Drosophila melanogaster: one gene and its partners. The protein of the gene in region 1 interacts with the protein of each later gene in a pairwise test. Each region holds a gene or a part of one and is shown on either strand. Other genes may lie near its edges.

The links.
Region 2: the proteins of Nup58 (region 1) and CG10341 interact in a two-hybrid assay, tested with the Drosophila melanogaster proteins (one large-scale study listed by BioGRID).
Region 3: the proteins of Nup58 (region 1) and CG13124 interact in a two-hybrid assay, tested with the Drosophila melanogaster proteins (one large-scale study listed by BioGRID).

Annotation. Positions count from the first base shown.
Region 1 is NT_033777.3:19,642,950-19,646,704, reverse strand, and holds the start of Nup58 (nucleoporin 58kD), read right to left. Parts: upstream 1,680-3,755; 5' UTR 1,541-1,679; coding exon 617-1,540; intron 556-616; coding exon 1-555. Other genes in the region: Vha13 (vacuolar H[+] ATPase 13kD subunit), read left to right, coding at 2,418-2,499, 2,867-2,967, 3,027-3,197. UniProt on the Drosophila melanogaster protein: Component of the nuclear pore complex, a complex required for the trafficking across the nuclear membrane. Together with Nup54, required for transposable element silencing regulation in ovarian follicle cells.
Region 2 is NT_033779.5:18,696,839-18,700,593, forward strand, and holds the start of CG10341 (uncharacterized protein), read left to right. Parts: upstream 1-1,875; 5' UTR 1,876-1,996; coding exon 1,997-2,138; intron 2,139-2,197; coding exon 2,198-3,750; 3' UTR 3,751-3,755. Other genes in the region: CG10338 (uncharacterized protein), read left to right, coding at 1-520, 583-916, 986-1,047. UniProt on the Drosophila melanogaster protein: RNA-binding protein required for the maturation of the box H/ACA small nucleolar ribonucleoprotein (H/ACA snoRNP) complex and ribosome biogenesis.
Region 3 is NT_033779.5:9,906,879-9,910,633, forward strand, and holds the start of CG13124 (uncharacterized protein), read right to left. Parts: upstream 1,756-3,755; 5' UTR 1,547-1,755; exon of another isoform or gene 1,430-1,546; intron 978-1,429; 5' UTR 730-977; intron 670-729; 5' UTR 173-669; intron 1-172. Other genes in the region: Etl1, read right to left, coding at 2,361-2,987, 3,046-3,348, 3,408-3,554, 3,611-3,755.

The DNA of each region.
Region 1 (3,755 bases):
TCGCAGGCGGTAGCGTCTGAGGTTTAGGTAGTGCTCCTTGTGCTCCTCCACCCGCTGATGCACCTCGTGGAGGCGTCCCGCCAGCGAGATGAAACTCTCATTAAGTTGGCGAAAGCCACGCTTTAGATCATCCGGCGAAATACTCTGCGGATTCGAGATCGCGTGCATGTGGCGCTCGGTCAGAGCGATCTGCTGGCGAAAGGCGATCAAATCCTGCTCGTACTTCGCCACCAGGCACTGAAAGTACTGGAACGGAGCATTGTTCTCGAACTGCAGGCCGGCTGGGGTGTCCTGCGTGCGTTGGGCCATCTCCAGAGATTGAATCGCCTTGACGGTCTCTTGGCGCATCAGGCGGATCTGCTGATTGCTGCCCTCAACTAAAGTGGCCATATTCTGCAGCGCCCATTTCAAGTTCGTGATCTCGTGGCTGACATTCGTGAATTTGGAGGTGGATGTCCGTCCAATGTCAGAGGAGATGGTCTTCTGCTGTTTGATATACGCTTTTAGGCCATCCACCGTTTTTATTATCTCGTCGGGCACTTGGGTTTCCTTAATCTGGAGTGGTCGAAAATAAAATGATTATTTTGTTTCTCTGTGAAAGACTCATGGTCAGCACCTTGATGCCATCTTGCTTATTGTCCCCCAGCTTTGGTTGCGTGGCGGTCACATCGATCCCCCCCAGACCCACGAAAGTCGATGCTGCCGGGGCAGCTGCCTGACCCGCTGGCTTGCTAAAGATTCCTCCTCCTCCTAGGGTTGTCGTCGCATTGGTGGTTCCCAGTTTCAGACCCGTGTTGAAGGGTTGTGCCGTCGCCGTCGTCGTGGTTGTGTTAAAGTTCAAGCTGGCCGCCGTGGTGGCCTGTGGCTTGGGGAAGGAAAACGATCCAATTCCGGAGCTGAGGGATGCTGGCATCGCAGCTGCCGCCGTTGTGGCGGTGGTGCCGAATCCAAAGGCCGGCGGCGCGGTGGTCGGCGCACTTGTGGCCGGGGTGGCAAAGGAGAAAGTGGGAGCCACAGTGCCCACGGCTGGTGCAGGTGCTCCGAAGGCCGATGCTTGCGTGGAAGCTGGCGCTCCAAACGCCGTTGTGGCTGCTGGTGCTCCAAAGGCGGATGTAGCGGCGGGTGCTCCAAAAGCGGGCGTGGCGGCGGGTGCTCCGAAAGCGGGAGTGGCAGCTGCAGCTCCAAAAGCGGGCGTAGCAGCTGGAGCTCCAAAAGCCGACGTTGCTGCTGGTATGCCAAAAGCGGGCGTGGCAGCAGCCGTTCCAAAAGCCGGCGCCGCAGTGGAAGTGGCGCCAAAACCAGGCGTGGACGCAGGTGCTCCAAAAGCCGGCGTAGCAGCTGGTGCCCCAAAGGCCGGTGTGGCCGCGGGAGCTGCAAACAAGGAGGTGGTGGCCGGAGCAGCACCGAAGGTTGGCGTAGAGGTGGCTGCTCCAAAGGATGGAGGCGGAGCAGTCGTCGTCGCCGGTCGCGCGCCAAAAGCAAAAGCGCCGGTAGCAGCAGTGGCGCCTCCAATGGCGTTGTTCGTGGTGGGCGTAAACATCTTTAGGCACCCCTCTTAAGGATTTATACAGGAATTTTAAACAATTAAACTATATTTACTGCAACAAATTTCGAAATTAATTTTGTTTAATGCCTGAGCATCTGTGGTTTAACTTCTAGGACAGAGATGACACTATCGGTGATATCGATAGCTAGTCAGCAGAGATTTATTCGGAAAAATATCAACAAAGTATTCAAATTGATTGAAATAAATACACTATGGCTAAAGATATATAAAGTATTTGCAGCTTCATATAGTTACGATTTGTGATTTTCAAATATTTAATTTTGGTCTGAGGTGTGGTGAGTTCGGTCCACTACAACATGGTTGTTATTTAATATCAAACGATAGCCTTCAGATATTAATATGAATAAATTATTTCAAAATTTAATCTTTATGTATTTCAATTTTAAAATAATATAAAGAATTTTTTACGAACTAATTTCTTACAATAGCTTTAAATACAGCCGGAACTATTACAGTGCGAAGCAGATTAAACGCTGCATTTAAATTAAAATGAATTAAAGTTTACAAAATTATAAAAGAAAAATATTCATGATGGGAATAAATGAGAAAGTTAATGCTTACAAAAACGTCAAATTATTTAATACTTCTGGCCAATACAATACCAAACAATAATATACAACTAAGCTAATCGATATGCAATCGACCGAGCCATCTCCAAGAGTTTCGCAGCACCCAGCTTTCCGGCACACTGCTTACCCACACCAACTAGCCACCGTGGTGAGTTTGCGTGTGTGTGACTTCGTCATATGACATTTTTCACAGTTCGTCGTCGATTGTGATTCTGTCGCACTTGCTTTTTTCGACTTGCACAGTATACACCACGGCGAGGAATTAGAGAAGTTTGGAAATTATGGCCAGCCAGACGCAGGGAATCCAGCAGTTGCTCGCTGCCGAGAAAAAGGCAGCCGAGAAGGTCGCCGAGGCTCGTAAACGTAAGTTTCATTTTCAGAAACAAAAATCCAATTGGAAATGGCAGGGCGACAAGTAACTGCGATTTTTTCACCACCCCGCCCCCGTGCTACCATAACCACCATCACCGTTGTGTGTGGGTCACATGATGTGGTGGAAAAAAGTAAATACAAGTCAATCCTCCATAACTCGAGATATAAATCAAATTAAACTAAATTAAATTAAATTAAATTAAATTAAAATTGTTTGTGGCCACTAAGACTGCAACTTAAGTGCAGTAAATAGTTTTTGTGCGAGTTGGCACTTTAAGTTATGGAAGGTCATCTTGCGGAGGGCTGATTTGCCAAGTTGAACTGATATGATCATCTGGATTTCTGGGTAATCCCGCAGGCAAGGCAAGGAGGTTGAAGCAAGCCAAGGACGAGGCTACCGAGGAGATCGAGAAGTTCCGCCAGGAGCGCGAGCGCGCCTTCAAGGAGTTCGAGGCCAAGGTAAGACGCCACATAGGGAAACTTATGTACATGTAATACCGTGTGAACCCCGATTACAGCACATGGGCAGTCGCGAGGGCGTGGCGGCCAAGATCGATGCGGATATCCGCGTTAAGCTGGCCGACATGGACCGGGCCATCCAGACCCGCAAGGACCCGTTCATCCTGGAGATCCTGCAGTACGTGTACAACATCTCGCCCGAGGTGCACAAAAACTACAACCACAAGTAAAGAGGTGGCCCCCCAAACTGTGCGCTGTAAATTCAATGTCCACGTTCAACTCTAATCCATAATTTAGACCCGTAATAATAGTGGTTAATCTAACTGGAAACACTGCTGTATTATTATTCCATACATTAAAGTGAAAATTCGTTGTTGTTCCATGTAGAAAAAAGCGAGCATATTAGTTTGCCTCCCACTCGCGCGGGATTGTATTATCATTGTTTTGTGTTCTGCCCAATACACGTTGTTGTTTTATCCGAAAAGTCATGTGTTTCAATTGTTTTCCTCACTTTCTTCCTGCTCGCATTTTTCATATCTGCACTGCAGTCAGCTGCTGCGTGATAAGATTTTTGCGGCGAGTTCATTTCATCGGTGCTCAACACTGGCGATGGCGATAGTCACGCCTCTGGGTGCTTAAAAAATTCAATTTTAAGATTAATCCGCTTAATTATATAGTGTATAGACTCGGCATAAAATAAAATGTACAATGTAAAGCAATTTTATGTTTTCTCTTTTAATGGATTGTTGTCTCAGGCAATCGTCTAACAACCAAATGGTTTCCCTAAG
Region 2 (3,755 bases), on another chromosome or scaffold:
GAAGGAGGGCAGTGGTCACGTGGGTCGCATTGTGTTCGCATGGTGGCAGGGCTCCCAATTGGATGTGGACTCAAAGAAATGGCGCCTGCGTGCGGATTTTCTGAACGATCTGGCCATGGGCATCGAGATCTACGTGCTTCCCAAGTATCCGCATTTCAGCACCCAAATCCTGTGCTGCTCGACCCTGCTGAAGGCGATTGTGGGCGTTGCCGGAGGTGCCACTAGATCGGCATTGACCCAGCATCATGCCTTGAGGGGCAACCTGGCCGATGTGGCATCCAAGGACAGTTCACAGGAGACGTGCGTGAATCTGGTGGCCTCCTTTGTGGGCCTGTATCTCCTCTCGCTGATCAAGAGTCAGGCGGTCCTGTATACCATATTCTACGTGGTGGTCAGCCTGCATCTGTATGCCAATCTGAAAGCAGTACGCGCAGTATGCTTGCGAAGCTTCAACGAGTCGCGCTATTTGATCGCCCTGGAGGAGTTTTTCAGGTCGTCAAGGATGCTCAGTCCGCAGCAGGTTGGTACATCGTTGATCTTGTCGAAAAATAAGGTTTTGTTCAGCTTTGACTTTTTTTCTAGGTGAACGCCATGGAGCGTGTGACGGTTGGCCAAACGGTTTCAGTGTCACTGAACATAAAGCTCGGACTGAGCGTTAAAAATTTGATTGACGAGTACAAGAGCAGCAGCGTTATTGAGAACATAGTGTCCTCCTTCGATCCCCACGAGCACTTCATCATCGCACAGACCAAAAAGTGTCTGGGTGTATATCTGCACTTTGAAACTCGTCCGCAGGATGTGCTGAAGGCGTACTTCTTTGCAGTGTCCTATTTGCAGGACAGGAATCAGCTTAAGGAGAAATACTGGGACATTCAGACGAAGTGGCAGGAGTTTTTGGCGCTGGCGCAGCAAGAGGGTAGGGATAAATTGATTTCATTTGTACTATTAGTGCTAGAGCCCTAATTAATTTTACTATGTATTATAGGTTGGCTAATCCATCATCACTTGCTGCTGGTGGACGAATACCGTTTAGATTGGAAGGTGTAGGAGAATGGTGACTTTGATTGCTAGATTTTGACCTTAGTTGCTTGCTTTGACCTGAAGAATTAATTTCATTAGACTTCATTATCATTCTCACATATCTCACATGGCTACCATAGAGCGAAAACATTGATATTAACTAAGTGCTATTGATATTTACCTAGATTTAGCTTTGTGAATCTCGTTCGCACTTGAACATCTTCCAACTAACTCTGCCTTAGCACAAAGTAATGTTTGTAACCGATATTTGATAAGCTAATTTCGCCCTGCTTTTACCCATGAATTTATCGGAAGACATTGTTTCAATTATTAGCTGCTACTAGGACTAAAGGAGACACAAAAGAAAATCAAGAAACTATTTTGTAAGGACTTATTGTAAGTATGCACTTCGATATTTCGAGAGCATACAATACATTTTTAGATATTAGTCATGAAGAATCTCACAACGAACTACGGAAAACCCGTTTCAATTGCATTCTGAGCAAAAAGTGTACAAAGTTTTAAGCTTTTTTTAATGCTAAATGTGCAATAGTAAGTTAAATATTAGCTTCGAGTATATACGGAATAAGTTGGCGTCCATTTTTGCTTAACTAAAATGCTTTTCAATGAATGCAATATATGAATTGTGTGCATACCGTCTCACCACGCAAATGATTTTAACGAAACAAATAAAAGTAAACAATTTTAAGGACAAAAATATTTATATCACATTTTTTAACAATAAACATTTTAAAAATTATACATTCGTTTTCAACATTTTAAATTTTTTGAGAGCGGTATAAACCATTGCCATTCGCAACGGCTCGATGTATTTTATTTATGACTGTGAATGTTATTTTAGAAAGAAGAAGACAACACGTGCGTGCATTCAACGTGTGTATTCTCAGTTGATATTCGTTTCCCTGCGATTTCAGCTTGATTAAGGAATTGTCTAACTATTTAAAGTTAAATAGGCATGGAGAGTGAGCAGCCAGCGGCTGTAAAGGCTTCAGCTCCAATTGAAGAGCCACAATCCACCGAAACAGCTGTTGAATTGGGGAAACATAGCACCTTGAAGGCAGACTTATCAATAGATAAGTTGGAAACAGCGACAACAGGTAAGCTTATAAGCTTTCTATACTATAAGTTCAATAATAGATTTGGAATTTCAATGCAGAAGCTACGAATGCCGTAGTAGAACCAGTAGAAATGGAGCAGCAGGTGGAAAATGAACTGGTAAATGAGTCAACACAAGCCATGACATCGACCACAACCCAGGAAAAGGTGGTGGGTTCAGTGAATAATCTTGTAGAGGAGCAACAGTGTGTGGAAATGGAATTCGAAACATCATCAGATCTCGTGGTCCAGGGAAGTCCATCGGAAGAATCCAAAAAAGTTGCCTCTGACGCTTCTGCTACTGTGACCGCACCTCAAGTTCAGCCCGCTCCACATGTTGATTCAAGCCCTCAAGCAAGTGGCCTCAGTCTGTTGGCTGCCTACAGCTCTGATGACTCGGATGATGAGAAAGTCACTCCAGTGCAGAACGGCGACAACGATGTGATTGAAGTTCCAGTTACGGACCCCGCATCCTCCACCACCGCATATCGTCCAGTTGTAGCTGTGAGCTCGGATGACGAGAGCTCAAAGAGCAGCAGCAGCAGCAGTGACTCAGACTCCGATTCCGAAGGAGAATACCTCACCGTACTTCGGAAGAAGATTGACAAAAGAATCAACACCGTGGATTGTGACGAGGATGACGAGGACTTTGATGAAGATGGGGCTACAGGAGATCGGTCTCGTCGTCGCCAGCCCCCGAAAGTACGAGGAGAAATGCTCCTTGATGACCTTCCGCCTATTCATCAGCTAGAGATTACTGTACCCGAGGATGAATGCGTTGAACTTGGCAAAGTTCAGTCCATCGTGGATCAGCTTGTTTTGGTTTCCGTGCTGCCGAATTCCATGCTATTCGATCTCGACACCGTTTTGTTCCTGGAGAAGGGTCGCAAGGTCCTGGGCGAAGTGTTCGATGTGTTGGGTCAAGTGTCGGATCCACTGTACTGCGTTCGATTCAACAGTAACAAACAGATCCTCGATAGGGGCATCAAAATTGGCGACGTAGTGTACTGCGCTCCCAAAACCGAACACACTCAATTTGTGATCCTCTCCAAGCTGATGCAAGTTCGAGGATCGGATGCTTCGTGGGAGCACGATGTAGAACCACCAGCCCGCTACGTAGATCACTCGGATGATGAAGAAGAAAGAGAAGCCAGGGCAGAGCAGCGAAAGCGCCGCCAAAGGGATCGCACAAACTCCACAGATTCCGTGGACACGGTAACCTCGGTGGCCACGACAGCCACTAAGGCTTCTTCAGTTGCTCCTCCTCCTCGTCAACGCGGACGTCGTGGGCAACGAGAGAGTTTCCGCCAGAGCCAGCGACCCTCCATTAACCAGCACAACCAGAATCAGCCACAGGACGAACAATACAACTTCCATCCAAGCTACAATCCGGGCAGCTGGCACTCCAACTACTACCAGAACTATCACCAGGCAGCGGCTAACTTTAACATGGCTCAGCAGCATCCTGGCATGCCCTTCCCAGTGCCTAACTATGGCTACGGAATGCCCTACGCCATGCCGCCCATGTACCCACACATGTACCCGCCACCACCACCCTTTGCTCCTCCTCCGCCGAACAACCAGTCACATCAGGGTCAGCCGCCACCCAGCTAGAGATA
Region 3 (3,755 bases), on another chromosome or scaffold:
CTTAGAGAATCTTACATAGGTTAACTGCCCTGTGAGAGTGACTACTATCATAGCAATGTGAACTTGCCTCGCTAATTGCTCTACACTTCCCATTCTCAGATTGCCAAACAGAGTGCTCGGAATAAGCTAGGCTGGTATTATGAATCAGCGTCGGATGGACGGATATACTCACCTTTTAGTGCAAAAATATTTCCTTCAAATTGTTTCGTTGTTGCTGCTGCTGTTGCTGCTTGAGCTTTTGTTTATCTCTGTCTATAGTGTATATATAGATGGGTTTGTTTGTGCGTTGTTGCTATTCGTCGATTCGATTGTTGCTTGGTGCCGCAGCTTAGTTGTTCGTATAAAGATATTTATCTACTTCGTAGATACGCTCTTTCGTGTCTCGTTTAATCATGCTTGGCATGCGCCAAGTCAAGCCGTAAACAGTGTCAGAAATAATTAATATTTCGAAGCGTCCCTCCACGCCCAAATAGTCCGCATATGGGGTAATACACTAGATGGTTATGGATTGCGGGCCTCTAGACACAGATACAGATGCAGGCAGATACAGCGGCAAATGCAAAAAAAGGCACAGATACGCATACGCATACGCACTCACACAAACGCACTGTGATCACAATTGATTTTAGTGCCTATTGTTGTTGCTTTTGCTCGGATGACTGGTGGCTGCTGTGCGAGCGAGAGGGCGAGATGAGTGATATGAGCGGGTGGCTCGTTAAGTATACGCACCGTTGGTATCGTCTATTTTTGGTTTGTCGCTTTGTGCTGCTTGTTCTCGGCTCGTTGTCTGCTCGTCGTCAATTATTACCGATTCCGTTTTGGTTTCTTAATTTTTGTTCGCGTTGTTGTGTTCGTTCGTTTTTCTTTTTATTGTGATTTTTCTCTCATTTAATGCAGATCGCTCGCTATTTATGTATATAATATAGTTATTGTTCGGATTACTCTCACACGTACACATACAAGCGGTCACTACACGCATACAGGCGCGGCCAAAATGAGGGGATTATTAATTGTTATTTATATTTTCCTATACTACTCTTCATGTTTAGCCTGCACGCGCTGTTTGTTTTCACCCGACTTGTGCGCCGTATTCTTTGGCAATTGCCAAAAACTGCTCACATGTGCCGCCGCATCTATATTTATAGTATATGACAGCGCTGCGAATGATGACTGTATCGCAGCACTATGTAGATACATCTATAAACCTATATGCAGTTGGCGTTGCTTCCGTTTCCGTTGGTCAAAAACAATAATATCAGCGGGCTGGCAGAAAGACAAAATAAAAAAAAGAACAGACTATTTCAAATTATTGGCCCGATTTATTTAGCGTTTTAGTCGCCGCCGCGGCACAATATGATTTCCGCTCGCAAACAGTTTGTCTATTTTTAAATAGAATTCAAGAAAGTATTCGGGGAGGAAACGTATGTACTTATGCATGAATCACATAATCCCGATTCGTAAGAGCAAAATATAAAGGATCGGGGATGTAATTGGATTTAAACACATTTAACTACGGGACAATGGAACCTTGGAATTTTGGTTTTACTTTAGGTTTCCATGGGTTCGTTGCTGTCGATCGAGACACTATATCTGCGGGGTATATCTATTTATCGATGTACGCCGTATTATGTGAGCATGTATGTATATTCGCACGTATGTATGTATATGGATGTGAGTAACGCTGCCGGCTGCTACACTGGGCGCAGGCTTTAACTTAAAAATTAAATCATCGGCGCGAGCGATCAGTTGAAGACTAAAGACTTGATGAATCGCCGCGCCAGCCGAAAGCTCTTCATTACAGTTGTGCTCTCTGGAAAGCGATTCTCCGCTTCTCTTTGCACCACACAACCAAAAGAATCTCGTGGGAAAATGCGAGAGCGATCCGTTTAGGGTTGTCGAGCGGCTCGAACTATAGAGCAAATATGTAGAAATAAATGAACATGATCGCATTCGTACACAAAATGATCTTTATCCTTATAACAATAGTTTCAATTCGATACATAAACAGAAATTACAGAAATGAAAACTAATCATGATGACAAATCAATAAAACAAGAATATTAACTTGTCTGCCTTGGTTTATCGTGGAAATGTTGCTGTTACTAATGAAGAAAAACTAATGTCGCCTCAACGGTGAAAAATTACTAACTCGATTTATGATCCACTTTTGGCATACCATACACCAAATCTCTCCTTGCATACAAGTTTAAAAAATATACAAATACAATATTGTTAGAATAATTCAAACGATGTTAACAGGATTTGACAGCGGTAGGACGATTAGACCAAGTTGATCAAATGCTCGCGCAGAATAAATACGGAGGTGGGGACAAGGACGAGAACGAGGACAACGAGAATGCCTATTTGGCGGGCGAGGCTATGGAGTTGTTTAGTGAATTGTTTAGCTGCTCCTCCTGATCCTTGTCCAAGCCAAGGGCTGTGGTCAACAGCTTGACCACACATCGCTGCTCGTGCACCTCGCCCTTCTCGTTGGAAGTAATGTCCTTTTCTAGTTTTAGCTTCTCTTCGGCGGCCATCAGGATGCCCTCCTCGATGGTACTCTCGGAAATGAGACGGTAAATGGTCACCGGACGCTGCTGTCCCATGCGATGACACCGATCCTCGGCCTGTTTATCGTTGTACGGGTTGAAGTCGATATCGTGAATGACACAGGTGTCGGCAGCCGTCAGGTTGATGCCAACGCCACCGGCTTTGGTGGAGAGTAGGAACACAAAGATGCTATCGTCCCCATTGAAGTCGGTGATCAAATCCTGGCGGACATTTACGGCGGTCGCCCCGTCCAGGCGACAGAAACCAAACTTTCGTATTCGCAGATACTCCTCCACAATGTCCAGCATCATGGTGAACTGGCTGAAAAGCAACACACGGTGTCCTTCTGCCTTCAGTTTTGGAAGCAACGTATCCAGGTAGAGGAATTTTCCAGAATCGCATATCAAATTATCGGGTATTTTCACGTCGTAAAACTCCTGAAAGATGCACAAATTTAGTCATTGTCATTGGACAACCTCTTTGATAGTCACTTACATGCTTGTTCATCATCTGATAGACCTGAAAGTCTGACATAACGGCTAGCTCTTCAAAGATGTATTGCTCGTTGGTCTTTTTAAAGGAACTGGCATTAGCCAGGCGCTTAGAGAATCCACGTAGATTGGCGTCGGTGAAGTAGTGACGCATCAGCAACGGATGGTTTGCAATGCGGCGCATCTCCATCATGATCGCTATGCCGGCCCTTTCGCTGCTGCTGCACACCTCGCCCTTGTTATTGGAATAATAATCGACCAGCTCGTGATAGTATATTTTCTGTTGACTGCTCATGGGCACTTTTTCCTTTAAATAAAAAACAATTTAATTATTGTATAATATTTATTTTCGCCCGACGTACTTACCACCAGGCTTAGCTTCTTGGGCAGGTTCTTAAGGACATCTTTCTTAAGCCGTCTGAGTACAAATGGCTTCATGATACGCTTTGCTCTCTGGATTTGTGTTTCCTGGAACTGTGAAACCTCATCCTGATCTCCATCGCTTTTTCCCTTCTGCAAGGAACATGAAGTTTATATATTGTTTTGTGTGAAACCAATCTTTGTTTTACCTTAGCAAACAACGATTTTATGTCCTCAATGCTCTTGGCAAAGAATTTGGGCATCACGAAGCAGAGCAGAGAGATTAGCTCCAGCAGATTGTTCTGCAGCGGAGTTCCAGTGAGCAGGATTCGCATCCTAGCGTTTATGGTTATA